5 linked regions of the Neurospora crassa OR74A genome follow. The protein of the gene in region 3 interacts with the protein of the main gene of each other region in a pairwise test. Links are inferred from orthologs where the notes say so. Each region holds a gene or a part of one and is shown on either strand. Other genes may lie near its edges.

Region 1 (4,387 bases), on a different chromosome or scaffold from region 3:
CACACCACCCAAGACTCCGCGCCCATGCCGAAGCGTTGTAAGCCGTGAATGCGAACAGGATGAAGCTGGACCGTATCGAAAAATCCTTGAAATGGGGCAAACTCCAAAAGAGAATGTGTCGTAGTACAGTTCCGTGCATGTCGTTGAACTGTTTGCAGGGTCGGCAGAAAGAGTGTGATAGACGAGTCTGCCGTAGCGTAAACGCAAACCTGACAGGCCGAGGGACAACACTTGCCGTCATGGTAGCCCATTCACAGTTCGGGAGGAACAGAAAGAGATGGCCGAAAAAAAAGGACGACTAATATGTACAATTCAAAGACAAAACAACGTGGAAGCGATGCATGGTCGCACACCTCCTCACATTACCACATATCCCCCTCCTTCCAAAACTTGTTGGGAGAGTTTACCCTACTGGGCAGACAGTGGACCCTGAGGCTGGCCCTGACCTTGGGTACGAGGACCGCGCTGACCACCGTAGTTCTGGTTCTGACGGCCTCCCTGGCCCTGGAAACCACGTCCACGACCTCCGCGGCTGCTACCGGGCTGCCCGCGATTGTTCTGGTAGTTGGTGGGTCTGGGTTGGTTGTTGGAAGCACCTGTGCCATTTTGGCGACCGTTTTGCCCTTGCCAATCACCCTGGGCCTGGGGGATGGGTCTGTGAGGCTGTTGAGCTTGAGGATTGAAGCCAAGTTGTTGGTTGCCCTGTTGAGGCGGGAGCTGGTTTGACGGCTGTGTCTGTGTTGAGAAATGCTGTTGCTGTTGAGACTGTTGAGGCCTTTGCGATTGCTGCAATTGCTGTTGCGGCTGCTGGGCAATAGGCTTGAAGGTCGAGATGGGCCGGGGAATCGATTCAGGGTTCTCGTACACGTAGAGGCTCTTGTCAATGGTCTGAGGAATGGGCTGGATCTCTGTACCAAGATCGCGCTCAATGTTGTAAAGGTTGAATCTGTCATCCCAATTGATCAAGTTAATAGCAAGACCAAGGTGACCATAACGACCAGAACGACCAATACGGTGGAGGTACGTCTCGGCGTTCTTGGGGAAATCGAAGTTGATGACAACGTTCACTGCCTGAATGTCAATACCGCGGGTGAGGAGATCCGAGCAGACCAGGTTGCGGCAAACACCGTTGCGGAAGTCGTGGAAGACACGGTTTCTCGCCTGCTGAGCCATTTTGGCATGACTGTAGAAGCACGAGTATCCAAGCTCAGTGATCTTTTTGGCAAGCAGTTCGACGCGGTTGGTAGAGTTGCAGAAAATGATGGACTGGTTGATCTGCAGCTTGGAAAACAGAGTGTTGAGGCAGTGAACCTTTTGCTTCTCCTCAACAAAGGCATAGTATTGAGTGATACCGCGGAGCGTAAGCTCGTCCATGAGGTTGATCTCGTACGGGCTAGTCATGTTCTTGTCCGAGAAATCCTTGACCGAAAGAGGGAAAGTGGCGGAGAACAGCATGACCTGACGATCCTTGGGGTGGAACTGCAGGAGCTGCTCAATGACGGGGGTAAACTCTTGCGACAGGAGCTTATCAGCCTCGTCCATAATGAACATTGGGCACTCGCTGAGATCGGCCACCTGCTTGCCAGCTAGATCGAGGATACGACCTGGTGTTCCGACGACGATGTGTACGGGGTCCTGCAGACGCACAATGTCGTCCCGCAGGCCAGTTCCGCCGGTTGTCACCATGACGTTGATGCCGAGATGCTTGCCGAGCGTCTTGCAGACTTGGGATGTCTGCATGGCAAGCTCACGGGTGGGAACGAGAATAAGGCATTGGATCTTGGAGACCTTAGGGTTGATCTTGTTGAGGGCGGGAATGACGAAAGCGGCGGTCTTGCCGGTGCCGTTCTTTGCGCGTGCGAGGATGTCTCGGCCGGTGAGGGCAACGGGGATCGCTTCTTCCTGAATCGGGGACGGTTTCTCGAAGCCAGCCTCGAAAATGCCCATCAAGAGATCCCTGTCGTGTATGAAGTCTTCCCAATCCAGACCCCTCGTGTTTGTAACATCCTCGGTCTGTTGTCTTGTGTCCCTGGCAGGTAGGTTAAGTCCCTTTTTCCAGTCTTCCGGGCCTGAGCTATCAAAAACATGTCAGCTGGGTTTGGGACAGAAGGGAAGGCGGTCAACCTACCTCAGACTAGTAGCTTTCAACTGATCCGCTAGTTGGTCGGACATTTTGCCGGATGGTCGTTGTTCGGTTGTGGAACCCGTGGTCGAGGCTCAGATGTTGCAGAAAGGAGAGCGTAGAGCGCGATGGCTTCGTCTCCGGGTGTGTGTAGCGAAATGGACAAGTGGTTGACAAGGGGAGAGGAGCACTAGTTGTGGGTGGGAATCCCCTCTTTCTCTTTTGTTTTTCGGTCTGTTGACGGTGAGCAGAGCCAGACAGATGTAGCTTTGTAGGCGGAGGCGGAGGCCTGTCGCGAGCGGTCGTGGGGCAAAGATGAGACGGCGGTGGATGGGGATGGGGTCGCGAGGAGGCTCGTTGCGTGTGGGAGCACCAAGGACGTTCTCAGTCGTTTGATTTTGCCTGTATGCCTCGAAGTCAAGCGACGTCTTTTGTGGGAGAGGCTGCGAGGAATCCGATTCGGGGTCGACGGCTGGGACTTGATTGGCCTGTGAAAACTGAAGGGCGAATCAAAGCGACGTGTGCGATGCCGTTGGGAGAGTGGGACGAGATGGTGCTTTGCAGCGAGCTCAAAGTGTTTCTGTTCTGTTGTGATTGAAGTGTTGTCGTTGTTGTGGTGGTGGTGGTGGTCGTCGTCTGAAAGCGGGGCAGAAAGGCAGAGAGTTTGAGGGAAACTTCCGAAGCTTGGACGAGGCGAGGCGGTGCGGAAGTCGTGAATGATTCAGTGCTGTTTAGGACTGGGCGAGTGAGTGGACGAAGGAGCCGGAGCGTCCAGGTCCCAGGTCCAGTCTCCTCTCCTCGTCAAAACTGTTCACTCCACTGCCGAAAGGGTCTCGGATCACGTGTTCCCTTGATGTTCCCTGCCGAACCCTGCCTGCGCCTTCCAGTCCAGTTGTGTATCGCACAATCAGCAGCGTGTCCACCACGACGGGACCGAACGGGACCTCCATTTCCATACCTGCGTAGTGTAGTGTATCTCGTCTCATAATGGAAGGCGGCGGGGGGCGCCACTCATAGGCCACAAGTCGGCCGCGGCATCGCCTTCCAGTCCCACTTCAGGGGCAATTCGGTTTATACCTCTACTAGTGTACCTACACTATGACCGCTGCCTGTGCCTCCTCTCTGTTGGCCTGGGTAGTGTACACTGCATAGTAGTTCTGGTGGTGGCCCAGTGTACCTAGCGTACCTCTACATTGTATATATCGACGTCATCCGGCGCACTGGTGGGATATCGCGGGCGACATCCCGTCCATGGACGTCCTTCTGGGCTTTGTTACGTAGGTAGCCGAAATTGGACAAAGTAATGATCAAAGTTGACAAAAAGTTTGACAATTGGAAAACAGTTCGATATTTTCCAGCACGGTCAGATCCATGAATGTGTACATCATGCCCGTCTCTTCACTGCCGTCTTGCGTGCCCAGTGTCAAGTATGTACATAGGTACCTACAGAGAGGTACATTCGACTAAGTCTAGTAGTACCGCTTTTTTCAATTCGATTTGGATACCCCTTAGCTCCCCCTTTAGCGGGCTCGGCGGGCCACCTTACCCGATCTAGGTTTGTAAGCGAGCGCCCTACAGCTGACAGCCTCCTGCACACACCTTGTGCCAGGTGTAGCCACGTTCACATACCCACTCTGAGCGCCCAGAGGCTACAGTGGGCTTGCAGATGGCTTGCAGTTGGGCGCCAGCTTTACTGTAAAAAGGCTAGCCCCCCCTTAAGGGTACAGTCCCGGACCAAAAATAAAACACGTTTCTTTTTTACCCGCAAAAAGGGCCAAAACTCAACTCTATCACTCCCTAGTTTTCATGCCAACTACCTTTCAAAAGCAGATGCACTAAAGGAGGACAGAGTTAAATAGTTATACTCCCCAGATATATAAATGAAATTGACTTCATTGGTTTAGTAGTGTAATCACAATTGTTCAAATGAGAGTTTGAAAAGGATTTTTGGTTATAGTGCATTTAGAGTGCATTATAGTGGATAGAATCTGAGATACTTTTCGGAAAGTGACTTTAGTACTTACGCTTTTGCCCCCCGTTCGAGTGTATCTTTTCGGACAACTTGCATTAGTATCTCCTCTTAAAGTTATCTCTATTTAGAACGTGGAGTGAGTTTTGCAATAAACCACGTTGAGAAATTAAGAGTAGAAGAAGTTGAGTTTTGGCCCTTTTTGCGGGTAAAAAAGAAACGTTCGTTTTTTTTGGCGCCCCACTGTACCTATCCAAATCGACTTGGTTTTAGCGGTAATCGGGAACTGCCCCACA
Region 2 (4,223 bases), on a different chromosome or scaffold from region 3:
CCATGCTCTGATTGCGACTCTCCGACTGGAACACGTTGACGCCATGGTACCCAAGGGAGGCGGTGTATGGCAGTGTAGCGAGGGAAGGGAATCCGGCCAGCGCCGATTCGTTCAGCAGAGCACCGTCGGTCAAGCCAACACGATATTCCAGTCCCTCCACGGGCGGAAGATCGAAAATGTTCTCGATACAGTGGCAGTGGGGAATGGGCGGGAAGATTCCGACAAGGGAGGAAGGGTATTCAAAGTCTACCGAATCGGAATAAGTGAACTTGAGTGCGACGCCAAAATCGTTCCTCGACTTCTCAACGTCCGAGAGAAGTTCGTTCTTGGGGCCCATTGCTGCAAGCAGCCGCTTCTCGTCAATGAAGGGAATCTTGACAACGGCTTCCCAATCCATCTTCTTGCCATTCATGTCAAGCTCAAAGTCTCTTGGGTAGAAGTCGATGATGGGAGAATTGGGGTTTGTCATAAGATCCCAATATGCTGTCGGCACGATCTTTTTGCTGCGGTCTGGCAAGACACCCATCAGCTGCTCGTATGGCTTGAACGGCTGACCCATCTTGAAATTAAGGTCGGCTTTCAGGCCTTTCATGACATCGGAAATCAGGGGAGCGTAGTGGTAGCGATAGAACCAGGGCCAAGAAGCAATACCACGGTAGTAGTAGTAGAGCACCCATTGAAGACCCTGGACGTAATTCTCCGTCAACTTGCGGAGTTCGTCCTCCTTGTTCTCTGGGGTCCAATCCTCAAACTTCTCGGCATAGTACTTGTCTTTCCACTCTTGGAACTTTTGCTGGTATTTAACCTCCATGGCAGCCTTCGAGTCGGCCGCAGTTAAATCCAGGACTTGGGCGTTGTCGTACTTCTTGATGATACGGAGAACGGCTGACTGGGCTTCCTCGTCCTCTTCCGACTCGTCGTCTCTCTCGGGGAAGGACAGGATTAGGTGGCGGTGTCCCTCGTCATCTTCCTTAGTTGCCCAAGGAATGTGAGCAGTATCAGCCAAGTCTTGGACAAACTTGCGGTCCTCGGCCTTCAACTCGGTACCGAGGTCAAGCGTATTAGTGCTCCTATTCATAAGGAATTTCCTGATCTTCTGCTTCCAGAGATTCTTCTGGTTCGTGGTGACGATGAGCTTGCCCTTGGTCTTTGCCTTTGCTGTCTCTGCCTCGTTATCTTCAAGCATCTTCTTGGCCCGAAGCCAGCTTTGATCCTCATGTTCATGTTCGAAAAAGCGATACTCCTCCTTGCCGAGTTCTTCCAGAAGCAGGCCGAGTCTCTGGAGGTTGACCTTACCGCCCTCGTTGATATATCCGTCGCCGCGCGGAAGAATTTCTTTGTAGATCCTAAACATGAGCGAAAGAGCGCCTTCATTGATGTGAAGCCGCGGAAGGTTGGGAAGGAAGTCGTTTCCGACAAAGAATGCCATAAGAATGAAGTCGTCAATAACTTTTTCCATATCGAATGGAAAAGACATGGCTCCAGGTTTCTTGAGATCCTGGAACTCCAGCTCCAGGTACTCGCGGACTATGCAGAGATGCATCAAATAGAAGTTTTGCTCCTCCAGTCCCTTTGCCTTATGCTTAGACGGGCCGCGGCCAAAGGTAACTTCCTCGCGCAGAAGGCAGAAGTGAGGGTCATGGCTGAGGAGGCCAAGCATGATCAGATCGGCGTCGAGGCCATACAAACAGTGACGGACGTTCGCGTCATAGTCGAGTTGAGCGCGCGCATTGCGGATGTACTCCATGATCTTGTGCTCACCCTCACCAGGGACCTCGTGTCCAGACAAGACAATCTCGGGCTGTTGCCAGTCCCTGTCTTCCGAGACCTTTTTATGGATGAAATATCTCAGCTGTTGCGAGAGCTTGGCCATGAATTCGGTTCCTATGCAGCTAGTTAGCCTCCGGGGAAAACATTCAAGCGGGCACCAGCGCCAGACATACCAGGTGTGATGCAGTTACTGTCGAAAGGTTCTTCTTTGGGCAATTCCTTGCCCTCACGAATCGCCTTATCTCTAGCCTTCTCATTGTCCAGCGCGGTACGAAAACGACGAGCACGCTGTTGGTTCATCTTTGCGCGAGGGGCAACGCCATCTATAGCCATAAAGAAAAGCTTTTTGGGCTTGATTTTCCCGAAGAGATGTTCGATGTAGTTGAATATAGCAATGAACATCTCCTCCTCTGTCATGCGAAATTGTACATCGCTCGTGTCCTTATGGGTACAGTTGTGGATGATACCGTTCATGTCCAACTGAGCAAACCGGTTAGCTAGGCAAGTAACGCAAGACAGCCATCAGGCCTCGGGAGGGAGCAGCGAACATAAAGGCAGTCGAACTCGGGGATACGGTTCTCGGCGATGAGCTGAGAAATGGCGGGATACCGCTCCGAGAGCCATCTGAAGAACTTGGGAACACTGGACAAGAGGGGGTATTAGCCACACGCCTGAACAACGCGCGCGTATACGGCGAGGGAGGAGCTTTGATGTGGGAGTCATATACCCCATGTTGACTAAGTGGCCTGTGGTGCCGGACTAGATGTGTACACTACTAGAAGTTTGCGAAGGAGGTCTGAAATTGGGGCGCGCTGAGCGGTCGCAGGAGATGTCGCAGACGGGGAGTCTACTTAGTTACTGCTGTCAGGGGGCGAAGGAGAGGCGTCAAGCTGGTCGTTCAAATGCCGGCACTGAATAATAATGGCCGGGTTTCTAGATAGCGAAGCCTCCAGGGATCGCAATGGTGCAATAAACCGAGGGGGGACGAAGCAGCAAGGTCCAAGACTGAAGATGCTGTCTATGGAAGGGAAGAAGAGGAGTGTCCTTGGAGCAACCGACAGCGCCAATCGGGAAAAGAAGCTACTATAGTGCTAAGAAAAGCGGAAAGGTTGAGAATCCGAGGAGTGGCCTAGGACGTTGGCGGCCTATGTTCGAGATAGACGGAGGTAAAGGAAGAAGTGGGTGATGTCTACGAGATGGAACCGCAAGAGAAACAAAAGTGGAAGGTCCGTCAGAGGTGTGGATGGGACGGAGAAGGTGTCGGGTCCTGGGCTCCGGGCTGGCTAGGTGTTCAGGCTGTGACACACTGCAGTTTCTAGTTGGCCTCCGTTGCCCCACGCGGGTTGACTGTGTGCCTGGGGGCGGCGTGAGCGTCGGTCGTAGAGGTAGAGGTACCTCTAGAGCTAGGTACTAGCGCTCGGCCCGGCCAGGCCAGGCCAGTAGTGAGCGCTCCGCCACCTCATCAGGCTCCCGGCTGTCACTGTCAGCTCTCTCCCCGCACCAGCTACTACTGAACCTCAAGGTAACGAACCTCAAGCGAGCCTCCGCCCTCGACGAGCGGAACGGAACTGCCCTGGAGGGAATGGGGGGTCTGACAAAAGTGGGCGTAGCAGGCCTTTATAGTATAAAACGCTTGAGCAGGGGTTGTGGGCTACAACATCCTTACACAATATTGTTTCTTACTGTAATCTACTAGATAATTGAATATTGTTGTATTGAAGTTGGTTTTATTTTACAATACGTAGTTTTAATTAATAGTACAACGACTATTAACGCGGTATTGTATACAAAACGGAATTAACCGTTCAACAGCGCACAAAAGTACGACAACAGCGAACTGTACCACAACAATACGACCCGAACTACAAAATATACAACATAATAAATATACTCACTTAAATTGCTAATTGCAAGCTAATATTCTTATTAATATAATAATTGTTTAATTATATTTATTTATTCAACAATTAATATCTATTCTAAGTAACAAAAGCCTTACAATTATTTCACAGCAATTTTCAATCAATATTACACTTATATTGATAGAGGTAGGTAGTAGGGGAGAAAGCGCTATATTAAATTACTTATCTAAGCTACCTAAGTGGCGGGTATTCTTTATAGAAGTAATTCCTATTATTCCCTTTCTAATAATTGTAAATTAAAACTCTAACCTAGGTATATAAGAAAATTAGAGTACGGGTACCGTATAGGTAGCCAATAAGAATATTCACCTCAGGCTACCCCAAATACGCCTCCTTTAGGACTATTTCGATATAATAGTATAAAATATATATTCCTTAATATAAATATAACAATAAGAAAGTATAACGAAAAAAAAATAAAAAACTTTAATTCCGGCTCTAAATAAAGACAACACATGAAACTAGTTGTAAATAATAACCTAAGGATAATAATATAAAAAAAGAAAAAAAAAAAAAAGAAAAAAAAAATAA
Region 3 (3,541 bases):
CAGGGCGCGTTGTCAAAACCAACTGAGCCATCGAAAAAGAAGGTTTGTGTAGGGCGTTCTACATGTCATTAAATCAACGGTCCAATATGCGAGAAATCCTCAAACTGTGACACTTACCGTTACTCTGAGGGGCGCGAGTTCACTAGGACACTGGGCTCAGAGAAGACAGGAGACACGGCAGATAATGAGATAAACAGCAAAATCAGTGAAGAGCAGGATGCGTTTCCTTGTTAGATCCCACTTATTACAAGGCTCAACAAATCCCTTCGAAACGATACATATGATAGTGCTATAGCCTCAAGTTCCAAACTATCTTTATCAGTCCACTGTTCAACAAGAGCTGCAATAAGGACTGGCGGGTGACTTTTTGGCAATGAATTACTACAGTCTGCTAGTACCATAACACGCACTCTACCTACGACAAATATACACTAGATATGGAGGTAAAGTCTAATGTCTCATTAGTGTCCGAGACTTCTTATTCAACTTTTAAATGTTGGAGGTCAATTAGTCCGGCTATCATTTTCTATATTCAACTCGGGAGCCTCAACTAAGCTTAAGCGTCGTTTGATAGGAACTCTCCTCAAGGGATATGGCAAACTGATTCAACATAGGCGCTTGACATGCCCATGAGTTACAGAAGACTGCGGGGAGTTCTAACTTTGAGCTCCAGCTATAGGGCGCAAAGCGCAAACACTGCATTACTCATTCAGGGCGTGTGGCTCAGTTGGTAGAGCGTTCGCTTAGCATGTTTCACAGCATGCGAAAGGTCCTGGGTTCGATTCCCAGCTCGTCCACTCTTTTTGACTCGATGTCTCTTTGCTCCCGCACTTTTCTTGAAATTACTTGGATCTGGATAACAGTATTTCCAATTGCAGTGAGAACCCGTTTTTTTTTTACTTACTGCTACTCTGAAGCTTTAGATAACAAATATACGTGGGATATTATTCCTTTTTGGCTGTCCCACCTTTTCTGTACACTAAGTATAGTGTATCTCGGGTTGCCGGTTGGCTACAGTCGAACCCCCTGAAACTGCATGTAATCCAGACCGCCAAAATCCATGCACTAAATGGCGTATATGCAGTTTCTGGAGGCGGGGCTTGGGCAAAAATGGCGGATTCAGACCTGGAAATTCTATGCACTAACTAGCATATATGCAGAATCTGGAGTATGCAGTTTCAGGGGGTTCGACTGTATTTGATTTTCGGCTCCCAGATATCCTGGTAAACCATGTCATTGCTCCACGCTACATTTGTTACTCCATAAGCTGTTGCGGCCGGCAAGCTCCAGCTACGCCACGGCGCCAGGACAGGCTTCCCGTCGCGGGCGCACTTCCCTTTGGTCACTACATCCAACACGTCAACTTCTCCTTTTGGTCTCCGTCGCAACAACAATAGGCAGCCTAACTAACGGCTGTCGATTTCCAAACTCACTACTATGGTACGTCGAATTCTCATTGCATATAGCGTCACTTCGGTATCCCTCTTGGAAATGTACTAACCTTTTGCTCCCTCGCAACAAACAGCTACCGTTAGGCATCCTCACCGCGGCGCAAGGCCATCCCATGCTCGTTGAGCTCAAGAACGGCGAAACGCTCAACGGCCACTTGATCCAATGCGATACATGGATGAATCTGACGCTAAGGGAGGTTGTTCAGACCAGCCCGGTTAGTGCTACCTCCTACCTCCGTCCCTCCGTCCCTTCGTTCGAGCGATGATGCACAGTGATGATGATGATGATGAGCGAGTGGATGAAACAAGCAATCCAACACGTCGAAGAGAATGTCGGGGACAAGGCAGCTTACCAACGAACTTTACATGACGTAATAGGAAGGCGATAAGTTTGTGAGGTTACCAGAGGTTTACGTCAAGGGAAACAACGTAAGTCTCGACATTGTCCCCTCCCCCTCCTTTTCTCTCTCTTCTTGCCTCTTGCCAGGAAAGGAGTCAACGATCAATCGACCAGCGGTTTCTAATGGTTATGGGGACAAACAGATCAAATATCTTCGAGTACCGGACGACGTGATCGACATTGCAAGGGAGCAGCAACACAGTCAACACGGTGGACACAGAGGCGGCCGCGGCGGCGGACAGAACAGAGGCGATTATGGCGGCCGTGGCGGCCGTGGCGGACGAGGAGGGGGCGACAGAGGTGGTCACAGGGGAGGCCGCGGCCGTGGCAGGGGCGCATGAGGTGGAATTCCATGTTCTTGGGACAGCGAGCGAGGCGCAACGACCACCCAACGTAGGGAAGTACGGCCTTTTGATAATGATACGATCGATGAACGAGAGGCGCGAGGGGCCGCCGCGATTGTGCGTAGGGGTGAGAGGAAAGGGATGGAGAGCATCAGCCAAGAAAGAAACATGGGCTGCATCTTGCACGGTCCGAATGGGCTTTCACACAAAACCCAGGCGGGGTTGAATGGGGCACGAAGACCATCTCCAGCGACAGACATGCATGATGGTTCATGGGCAGTCATCGTGTGGGCTTTTTGGAAGAGGCCTGGCTCGGACACATAGACCGGACTAGGTGTTCGATGCATCAGCATGGAATTTACGGCACGAAGGATATGACTATTTTAAAGCAAAAGATACCCAAGCTTGAAGTTCCTGGTTGATTTTCTCTTGCACCTAACACAAAAGGCACATTGTATCGCATTATCGTCATTTGAGAGATTCTTTTCCGTTATCAACAAGCATTGAAAGGATTACAAAACTGGCGGCGTCCTGAGACCTCCATGTCACACAAAAATGATGCACTTCGCGGGCGACTTGTTGCAGCTTTTGAGGCAACGAAATAATTGCCCATGGCAAGGAAACAGGTGGTACGGAGCGGCTACAACTATGGAAGGAGTTACTCCAAAAAAAAAAAAAAAAAAAAAAAAAAAAAAGAAGAAAAAGAAGAAAGAAGGAAGAAAAAAAAAGAAATTAGAGGAAAAAACTCAAAAGTTGAGGTCGTACCCGGAATCGAACCGGGGTTGCCGGAATGTTCTGAAGGAAATCAGAATCCGGAGTGATAACCGCTACACTATACAACCTTGTGAGTTGTTTTAGTTGATTTGTTCACTCGCCTGATTCTCTTATAATGACCACTACCAGATTCTAGCAAGCCATTGAACTAGTTATATAATCTCCATTCCGATGCTTTTGAGTATTTCAGTAATTCTTCTTTTTTTTTTCTCTTTTTTCTTTTCTTTATCAAGCTGCAGATGCGCTCGATGTTTTGAGATCGCCAGCATCCAAAGCCTCTTCATACGCTGGACGCACGGCGCCCATCATCGTGGTCTCTTCTTGCACTCTTTGATCCGACACAACTGTCTCCTTTGGCATCTCGGCAAGCAACTTCTTGATCTCAATCTCGAGGTCGATCTTCCTCTCCCTGGCCACATCAACAACTGCCCACGCTCTGGGATCCATCTCGTTAAAGCAGCGCTTGAGCAGCTGGACCAAAGTCGGGTGACTGATCCACATGCGCCTCGAAGAATTCCTCGCCAAGGGCGCTAGCTCCATTTGCGCCAGGTAGTTGAAGGCGGTGTTGAGGT
Region 4 (4,260 bases), about 670 kb from region 3:
TGCGCGTGCACACAAGACCAAGGATGGCGGCAACAAGATCGAGGCCGAGTTCGTTCATAAACGTGAACAGCGTGGTTACTATAGCAGCCGAGAACAGCTCAATGTTTTCACGCATAGCGGCGTTGAACTGGATGTCATCAGTTGTAACCTGAGCTTCTCGGACAACGTCGAGTTGGTCGAGATTCACGACAATGCGTGTGAAAATGGTAATTCTTTGCTCGTGGTTCGTGTGACGGAAGATGCGCGGTATGGCTTTCTTGCCCTTACTGTAACTGAGAAGGGCCATGAAGGGGTGGATGCGGCCTGGCTGGTCGTGATCCTGCACCCTCAGAGCCTTCCAAAGCTGCTCATTCAACGCCTGTCCCTCGTTACTCCATGCAAAGACCTTGGCAAGAGCTTCTTGATCGTCCTCGGCAGGCGCCATAGGCATGTTGCGTTCGTGGTCTTCCATCTTCATAAGTGTAGTGTATACCAGCTCGAGGGCCCTCAGTTCGTCCTTCTTGTCCCGGCCATTAACAGGATGCGGTGCCTTCTTCACATCGCTGGCGCTGTCGTTACGCTTGATGTTGAGAAGCGGCTTCGGGGTCTTGGCGTTGCTGAAGGAAATCTTGCCCAAGCTACCTTCAATAACAAGCTGCTTATTCTTGGGCTTGTTCTTGGCCGCCTCAACAGCACGCTGGACCTGTTGTTCCATCCTCTGCATATGGTTTTCAGGACCCCTGTTATGGCGGCGCATACCTCCTTGACGGCTTCCTGTCTGAAACAGATAAGTCTGAGCGAACTGGTTCAGAGGCTGGCTGGGGTGCTGGCGATGGCCAGCCTGGATCTGACTATGGACTTGATAGTAAAAGTCCTCGGCGAGTGACTCGTCTGTGCCGTGTTCATTGGGATTTCCAGTGGCTGCGACAAGCTGCTGAAGCTGGATCCGGGTGATGAAATTCTTGTCCTGTGGCGTCATGATACCATTGTCGCGAGACATTTGGAAGATCTTGTGGTTGCGCTTGGCGCGCTTAGCTTCCTGTTCAAGATACGCAGCCTTTTCCTCCTCCGAGAGCTGAGCCAGCTGGGCAGGATGAAGAATCATAGGGGGCTGTCGCGGAAGAGAGCCTTGTTGCCTGTGGCCCTGGTGAGCGGACTGAGGACCGGACGGAGGCGTAGGGTGAACAGGCAGCCCGATCTTAGCCGCGTCGCCTGAAAGACGGTTGGGGTTCTGCAGGATCTGAGTAGGCTGCTGAGGAACAGCGGGTTGCTGATGCTGTTGAATAGCGGGCGGTTGGGAAGAGGGCTGGGCTGGCGTAGGAGGCTTCGAGTGAGGCCGCTGAAGAATTGTCATGGGATGTCCCTGCGGTTGATGGTACAGAGGTTCAACGACACCGGCTTGGAAGTGAGCCTGCGGCTGGTTCTGAGCTTGGTGCTGGTAGAGGTAAGCCTGTTCATGTGGAATTTGATGGGGCTGATGCTGAGGAGCGGGAGATGGGGTGGCCGCCTTAGCCTGGGCGCGCATCTGAGCCTCAACCTCCTCAAGACTCAGCATCTTGCGGCCCCCAGACGGCGCGCTAGGGACGGCAGGTTGAGCAGGCGGCGGCGGTTGCTTCTTGGGTGCGACACCCCAGAGAGCAGCGTCAACCTGAAGATCCTCGATCGGCTGCTCGTGGTATTTTTCGTAGCCGGTCCTGGCAGGTCTAACTGGAGCCTGCGCGAAATAGTTGTACGAGGGTCCGGCGATGGGCGTATAGGCCGATGGCTGCGCGACAGGCTGGGGAGCCTTGGCAGCTGGTTGTTGGCGGTTGAAACGAACATTTTCCTCTTCAATGACGTTCGCGACCTTGGCGGTGTGGCCAAAGAAGTCAAAGTCTTTGCCTACAGGACCCGGCTCGCCAGTATCGCCGCCAAAAGTATCATCATTGAAGGCATCGTCGGTCTCATCCAGCTGGTCACCCAAGCCGTCATAAGTGTCCTCGAAGTCGATCTCTTCGGCTTCCTCGTCCCGGTTGGCTAGGCTGGCAAAGGGATCGTGAGCCTGGGAGAAGCCGGGAGCGGCGGTATTATGGCGAGACTGGTCGAAGTTGAAGAAAGACATATTGGCGATGCCTGTTGGGTTTATGGAAAATTTCTACAGAGGTATCACTATTGTAGGGTCAGTATACGTTGAGCGAAGAAAGATCGTTGCGGCGCAAATCCGGGTGCGATGTTGAGCTTTGGCTGATTGGCAAGGGCACAGAGGAAAATGAGGGGCAAAGCAAAAGACGAGACCCTGGTTGGTGAGTGGGACGAGAAGTATAAAGAAGGAACAGCCGTGACGCAGGTTCACGAAGTTCTGGGTGGAAGGGGAAACAGGAAGGGCTTGAAGGTCCAGTGGTCAAACAGCCCGAGCCAAGCAGAGGGGCGACTCGATGGATGTTCCACCTAGCTGGGGGTGGTGAGCTGTCTCTTGAAGCGCGGGGCAACAACAACGACATGGAAGATGGAGAATTGGGACATGGGAGCCCAACTTTCATCCCATGACCTTGCCATACCGAGGTTGCAAGCACGCTGTAGAGAAATCAAAGAACAACGTACAGAACGATATGTAAAGATGTTGGTATGATCGGTTTGGTCAAGCACCATGATGCTGCGATGCGCGACGTGAAGGGAAAGGAGACGTGTCGACGGCGGTGCGACTCGTGCAAAGGAGCGGAGCAGAGCTTGTCAGGGCGGCAACAAATACTCAGCGCTCGGCTTGGAAATATTAAAACAGAGAAGCAAAGAAGGCTGTGAACTAACGACCGGAAGCGCAACTGGGTGCGCCGCGGTGAAGATGTGGATGCGGTTGCTCGGAGTGGTAGCTTGATGGCAGCGCAAAAGGCGACAAGAGACCGACGCAGATGGATGAAGTCAGGCCAACTCCAACTCAGAAGCCAGATCAGGGAGCTGTGGACCAATCGCCCCCGAGGGCCAATGGAGCCTGGCAACAGGTGGGCGGGCGGCGGTAGGCCTGACGCTTTGACACACCACCCTCCTGTCTTGCCGTTCGTTGACTGACGATGGGACTTCCAAGGCCGCGGCCGGGGGAGTGATTGCCACGGTTGGGCGGCAACCAGAGGCCCATTGCCTGCCGGGCTGTGGGATCCTCAACCGCCGGCAAGAATGTCCATTCCATCCTTCCAGTCTTGCAAGTTGTTTTATCCGATGAGCCAATCGGCGATACCCGCCCGCTAGTTGTGATGCGTAACAGTGATCAACTGGAGGCTACAACATGAGACCCGGACGGGACGGCAACCTCATGGTCAACATTTAACGCCAAGCCGACAACCAAATTTCAAGCTCGAGATATCGATTTTGGCAAGAAAGCTGAAGGGCAAGGACAGTAGCTCAGGCATCCATTTTGCTGCCGTGACATCCGTGACTAAACGCAGCTGTTTAGACTGTGCTTCTAAGTATGTGAATTCGCCATTCCGATGCAGGTGAAGCGGAAGCGCGGACATGGACAGAGGCAAACATGGCATGGCTATCTTAAGGCTGTTTTCTTGACAGGTGACTTTACTGTACATAGTATGCAGTCGAACTTGAATTATATCAGGGGCCTGGTATTTCCCTGTTGTTTCTTTTGAGAGGGAGGTATCATGGCCATCACTCAAGTCGGTGTTCTTCGCCATCTTGAAGAACTACTCCGATCGGAGGAGCAATGCGGAGGGAGCAGGCCGGCAGCAGATCATATTAACCCAAGTATCATAGTATGAGCTAATCAGCCACTTCTCAGCGTGGTAAAAGGATCAAGAAGCTCAAGACATACCCCTCCGTTGACGGATGCGACATGTGAACTGAAGTCGTCGTAGAGGTAGGTAGTGCCCCTGGAAGTTGACGACGCCCGTCTCAAGGGGGTTTTTGTCCCTTACTAACAGGGCCACGCTAGAACCGTCACGGCCCGCAATAATGGGGTACCTGCGGATACAGGTGACGACGAAGCTGTGGGGGCACCGAGGGCACCCTAATGTCTTTCCCTGCCGCCTACCCCCGCGGCCAATCTTTTGGTCCTGGCCGGACGGAAACATTGAGGTGCTCAGGGGAATGCACCGCAAGCGACCATCAGGAACGGGGAATGCGATAGCTTCTGGTAGGTATGTAGATATTATTTAGGCCACTTGCGGACGTTGCTGAGGATGTTGTAGGTAGATACCGACACTTTTGGGATGTTTTCATTACAGGCTAGTTCGCACCTAACTACCTCTAAAGAGGCCGAAACATGAACAGCACTTGAGATACCAGCATCTCCATGCTAGA
Region 5 (3,725 bases), on a different chromosome or scaffold from region 3:
TCCAACCCCCTAACAGGCGATGCAGCCATTGACCTCGCCAAGATCGTCACCGTGGTCGAGCAAACCATGGACGGTACCTCGGGTGCTCTCTACGGCATCTTCCTCAACGCTCTGGTCGCCTCTCTCCACACTGTCGGTGGAGGGGAGTCGGACAAGAAAGCTGCTGATGAAAATGCCTGGGCCGCAGCCCTCAAACTGAGCTGTGAGGCCCTGTCCAAGTACACGCCCGCTCGTCCCGGTGACCGCACCCTGGTTGATGCCCTCTATCCCTTTGTCGATGCGCTCGAAAAGACCGGTGATGTGAAGAAGGCGGCCGAGGCTGCCAAGCAGGGAGCTGAGGGCACCAAGGGTATGAAGGCCAAGTTGGGCCGCACCGTCTACATTGGCGGGTCCGGATTCGAGCAGGTGCCGGATCCGGGCGCTTGGGGATTGGCCAAGTTCTTCCTTGGACTGGCTGGAATTGAAAAGGCTGATGATTCCAGTGCTAAGCAGGCCAAGGGATCGGATGATGGATGGGAGGAGGTTACAAGAGAGGCGGAATTGCCGTAAGAATTGGTGCTGTATGTGATCTCGATATACCCCTAGGTAGTTAGTTTGCACCACCATTTCAATGACGTACCAGGAACACCAATACAAATCATCCCGTTGCTTGTCGTTAAAAAGCACGAGAAAACATGACCGCGTCTGCGAAAACCTAAACACGGTCTGGGTATTCTGTTCGATCAAGTTACCAGAAATGAAAGATAAAAAGTTAAACAAAACCAAATACACGTTTGAACGCCGAGCTCACACTAGTTTTCCCTTTGTATGACCTTCCTAATAGCCCCTGAAAATCTGCTTGGGTTTCTCTTCTTTCCTCTCGTTCCTGCGCGGCGCCTTTTCACGGGGCGTTTTGAATTGCTTTCGTGGTTGTGTCGTCATCATGGTCGATCGAGCGGTTGAGTAGTAGTAAGGTGATATAGTCCGCATGTCTCTCGATTCAGTCGACCAACAATAGGTACCCTTCCCGGGCTCATCCCCACTCCATTCGAGCCATTAACCCTAAGTTGTGCTGGCGCGTGTCTTCGCCGTGCAAGTGAAATAAACCTCCAACCTATACATTTTGCCGTGCTATTCGTGAACTAGCTGAGGAGGACAAGGATGACGGAGTCGCCTCTCAGGAACCTGCCAGGAAAGTGAAACATGTCAGCCATTGATCTTCGCTTCTCCTGGGCGAGAGAAACAACAGATGAAAAGGAAGTGCACAAACATCTTGCTGATAAACCTGTCCTTGTTTACGGGCTTGCCCTTCTTGCCATTGGCCAGTCGGGGCGTCTCGGTCCACATCTCCTTGACGTTCTCCAGCACCATGTTCATGTGGCGATCGAAAGCCTTGACGCGCGCAAGGATCTTGCGCCCATTGCGGACGGAAATGAGGACTTGGGAGTGGCTGCGGACGGCGGTCTGGAGGATGGACTGCCAAAAAGGGTGTCATATTAGTCGCTGCTCCGTGTCGAAGGGGTGGTAGATCAAGGCTTATGGGGCATATGTACCAGAGGACCGGCGGAGAACTCGTGCTCTTCGAGGAGAGAAACTTCGTATTCACTGTATCAGACGAGTTGGTTAGCTTTGTGATTTGGCTGGGCGGGCGTCGTGGTCTTGGGTCGCAAAGAGGAGGAGCTGGGAGCAGCAGGGCGGGCGAGATGACGATGGTAACAGAGGGAGGTGATGTTGACAAGAGGATATAACGTACGTAAGCTCATTGCGCGGCTTCGTGAGAAGCTCCCTGTATAGTAGACAGTTGTTAGTCAAGTTGGTTTCCTTGAAGCGTCCATGGGCTGCCCGCGCACATGGGTTGATGCTGGAGAGTGGGATAGCTACTGACTGAATCTTTGCATCCGCTGAAGCCATGACGATGGTGTTTTGGTCTAGAGTTGAATTGGAGTGGTACTGAAATGTAGGAGGGGCAAATGAGTTGTAGTTTTGTCTTTGTATCAAAAATGGTTGTTGACGTCGAGTGGTTGCTTCGCGTGGTATGGGTTGGTGGTGTACGGTAGAAGCCTGGACAATAGTTGCTGTAATGGATGCTATCGCTATCTTCAATCCACGACGGGAAATGTTGCAGCAGCGGAGGGCCAGGCGCGGCGGCGACTCGGAGCGTGGAGCAGCTACAGCACACGCGCCAAGCTTTTCTGGGAACAGAACCGTCTTCAAAGTTTGGCGATTGGATGACAAGCTCACGGTGGATCCCAATGCGAAAGGCTGAGGACCGCTCCGGTGACAGGTGCTGCCAGCCCCGCCGAACCCGACATGCTCCCCCGGACAGCCGGGACATCGGGTTTCCAGTGAGCGGAGGGCCCGAGCGTCGCTTCTGGAAAATGACAAGTTTGAATGGATAGAGGTATCATCGGCCGGAGGATATTCCAGCTTCTAGCGATAGCGGCGGGGATTCGGCAGGTTCCACAGCTACCTCTACACTATGTATTAGCTCCCCCGTACCTAACCCCGCCCCGGGGATTGCCAGGCGCGGTGCCCTTGAAAATCAATTGAAGCTGGAGCTCCATTTCGCGTTGAATTCCAGCAAAAAGTGGATTTGCAGATACTCTCGCTATCACTTATCACGGTTCCTGCATCCACGCGGCATTCAGATCATTGGTGATTGTTCTCCCGTTTTCCCTTTCCCAGCCCAGGAAAACGAGTCCCGAAAAAAAGTGCCCGAGTCCCTTGGCCGGTCTATGATGCAACAACGGTGCTAAACAGCCTCGGGGTGGATTTTGGACTTAGTATTTTTCTTCCATATTGACCCTGGGTCTTGTTATTCCATTCCTATTCTAGACAAAGCCAGCCAGCCAGCCAATTACCGAAGTGTACATCGATGTTGGTCTCCAAGTCCATTGCCAGCCGCGCCGGCTTGGCTTCTGCTGTTGCTTCTCGCAGCTGCCGACCAAGCTTCACCGCGATGCCGCTCAGAGCCAAAGTCCTGGGCCAGCAGGCCCCAGTAAGACGCTCCTTGGGAAGACAAAAGCCATGGACACGGACACAGCTAACACGCTCGCCGCCCCCTCCTCCCAGATCTCGACCCAAGCCGCCGCCGAGTTGTTCAAGCCCGTCGAGGGTGACGAGCCCGAGGATGTCCTCTTCAACAGTCTATATAATCTCCGCTCCGTCGAGCTCAACCGCCCAGCCAAGTACAACGCCCTCAATGGCTCCATGATCCGCAAGATCGCGCCCCGTCTCCTCGAATGGGAACGCTCCGATATGGCCAACGTCATCGTCATCAAGGGCTCCGGAGAGAAGGCCTTCTGCGCCGGTGGTGATGTTGCCGCGCTGGCCAAGCAGAACGCCGAGGGCCCCGAGGGCGTCAAGAAATCCGTCGACTATTTCGGCCTCGAATACAAGCTCAACCACCTGATTTCCACCTACACCAGGCCTTACGTGGCTTTCCTCGACGGCATTACCATGGGAGGTGGTGTTGGTCTCAGCATCCACGCCCCCTTCAGAATTGCGACCGAGCGCACTGTCTTCGCCATGCCCGAGACCAAGATTGGCTTCTTCCCCGACGTCGGCGCCTCTTTCTTCCTCCCCAGGATGCCTGGCCAGGTCGGCCCCTACCTCGGTCTCACCAGCGCCCTGCTGAAGGGTGTCCAGGTCTACTACGCCGGCATTGCCACCCACTACCTTCACTCGAGCAGTCTGCCTGCCCTGGAATCCCGTCTTGCCGAGCTTACCCCCCGGGACTACTGGAC

The links.
Region 1: the proteins of NCU07683 (region 3) and NCU06149 interact in binary tests that used the Saccharomyces cerevisiae proteins (3 or more experiments, as listed by UniProt). The link is inferred for Neurospora crassa OR74A from reciprocal best matches to the Saccharomyces cerevisiae genes LSM4 and DHH1.
Region 2: the proteins of NCU07683 (region 3) and NCU06678 interact in binary tests that used the Saccharomyces cerevisiae proteins (3 or more experiments, as listed by UniProt). The link is inferred for Neurospora crassa OR74A from reciprocal best matches to the Saccharomyces cerevisiae genes LSM4 and XRN1.
Region 4: the proteins of NCU07683 (region 3) and NCU06540 interact in binary tests that used the Saccharomyces cerevisiae proteins (3 or more experiments, as listed by UniProt). The link is inferred for Neurospora crassa OR74A from reciprocal best matches to the Saccharomyces cerevisiae genes LSM4 and PAT1.
Region 5: the proteins of NCU07683 (region 3) and NCU03778 interact in binary tests that used the Saccharomyces cerevisiae proteins (3 or more experiments, as listed by UniProt). The link is inferred for Neurospora crassa OR74A from reciprocal best matches to the Saccharomyces cerevisiae genes LSM4 and SMD2.

The regions. Positions count from the first base shown.
Region 1 is NC_026507.1:1,628,909-1,633,295, reverse strand, and holds the start of NCU06149 (ATP-dependent RNA helicase dhh-1), read right to left. Parts: upstream 2,882-4,387; 5' UTR 2,173-2,881; coding exon 2,129-2,172; intron 2,075-2,128; coding exon 409-2,074; 3' UTR 1-408. UniProt on the Saccharomyces cerevisiae protein: ATP-dependent RNA helicase involved in mRNA turnover, and more specifically in mRNA decapping by activating the decapping enzyme DCP1.
Region 2 is NC_026505.1:4,231,906-4,236,128, forward strand, and holds the start of NCU06678 (exonuclease Kem1), read right to left. Parts: upstream 3,068-4,223; 5' UTR 2,503-3,067; coding exon 2,498-2,502; intron 2,413-2,497; coding exon 2,319-2,412; intron 2,251-2,318; coding exon 1,944-2,250; intron 1,885-1,943; coding exon 1-1,884. UniProt on the Saccharomyces cerevisiae protein: Multifunctional protein that exhibits several independent functions at different levels of the cellular processes. 5'-3' exonuclease component of the nonsense-mediated mRNA decay (NMD) which is a highly conserved mRNA degradation pathway, an RNA surveillance system whose role is to identify and rid cells of mRNA with premature termination codons and thus prevents accumulation of potentially harmful truncated proteins.
Region 3 is NC_026504.1:2,247,398-2,250,938, reverse strand, and holds NCU07683 (small nuclear ribonucleoprotein), read left to right. Parts: upstream 1-1,246; 5' UTR 1,247-1,437; coding exon 1,438-1,440; intron 1,441-1,525; coding exon 1,526-1,666; intron 1,667-1,829; coding exon 1,830-1,880; intron 1,881-1,994; coding exon 1,995-2,192; 3' UTR 2,193-2,781; downstream 2,782-3,541. Other genes in the region: NCU07684 (hypothetical protein), read right to left, coding at 3,198-3,541. UniProt on the Saccharomyces cerevisiae protein: Component of LSm protein complexes, which are involved in RNA processing and may function in a chaperone-like manner. Component of the cytoplasmic LSM1-LSM7 complex which is involved in mRNA degradation by activating the decapping step.
Region 4 is NC_026504.1:1,577,983-1,582,242, forward strand, and holds the start of NCU06540 (topisomerase II associated protein), read right to left. Parts: upstream 2,917-4,260; 5' UTR 2,560-2,916; intron 2,128-2,559; 5' UTR 2,081-2,127; coding exon 1-2,080. UniProt on the Saccharomyces cerevisiae protein: Activator of decapping that functions as a general and active mechanism of translational repression and required for P-body formation. First decay factor recruited to mRNA, at a time when the mRNA is still associated with translation factors.
Region 5 is NC_026505.1:2,382,310-2,386,034, reverse strand, and holds NCU03778 (small nuclear ribonucleoprotein Sm D2), read right to left. Parts: upstream 2,103-3,725; 5' UTR 1,891-2,102; coding exon 1,865-1,890; intron 1,766-1,864; coding exon 1,733-1,765; intron 1,585-1,732; coding exon 1,533-1,584; intron 1,456-1,532; coding exon 1,250-1,455; intron 1,165-1,249; coding exon 1,122-1,164; 3' UTR 633-1,121; downstream 1-632. Other genes in the region: dak-1 (dihydroxyacetone kinase 1), read left to right, coding at 1-549; NCU03777 (mitochondrial 3-hydroxyisobutyryl-CoA hydrolase), read left to right, coding at 2,855-2,977, 3,052-3,725. UniProt on the Saccharomyces cerevisiae protein: Plays a role in pre-mRNA splicing as a core component of the spliceosomal U1, U2, U4 and U5 small nuclear ribonucleoproteins (snRNPs), the building blocks of the spliceosome.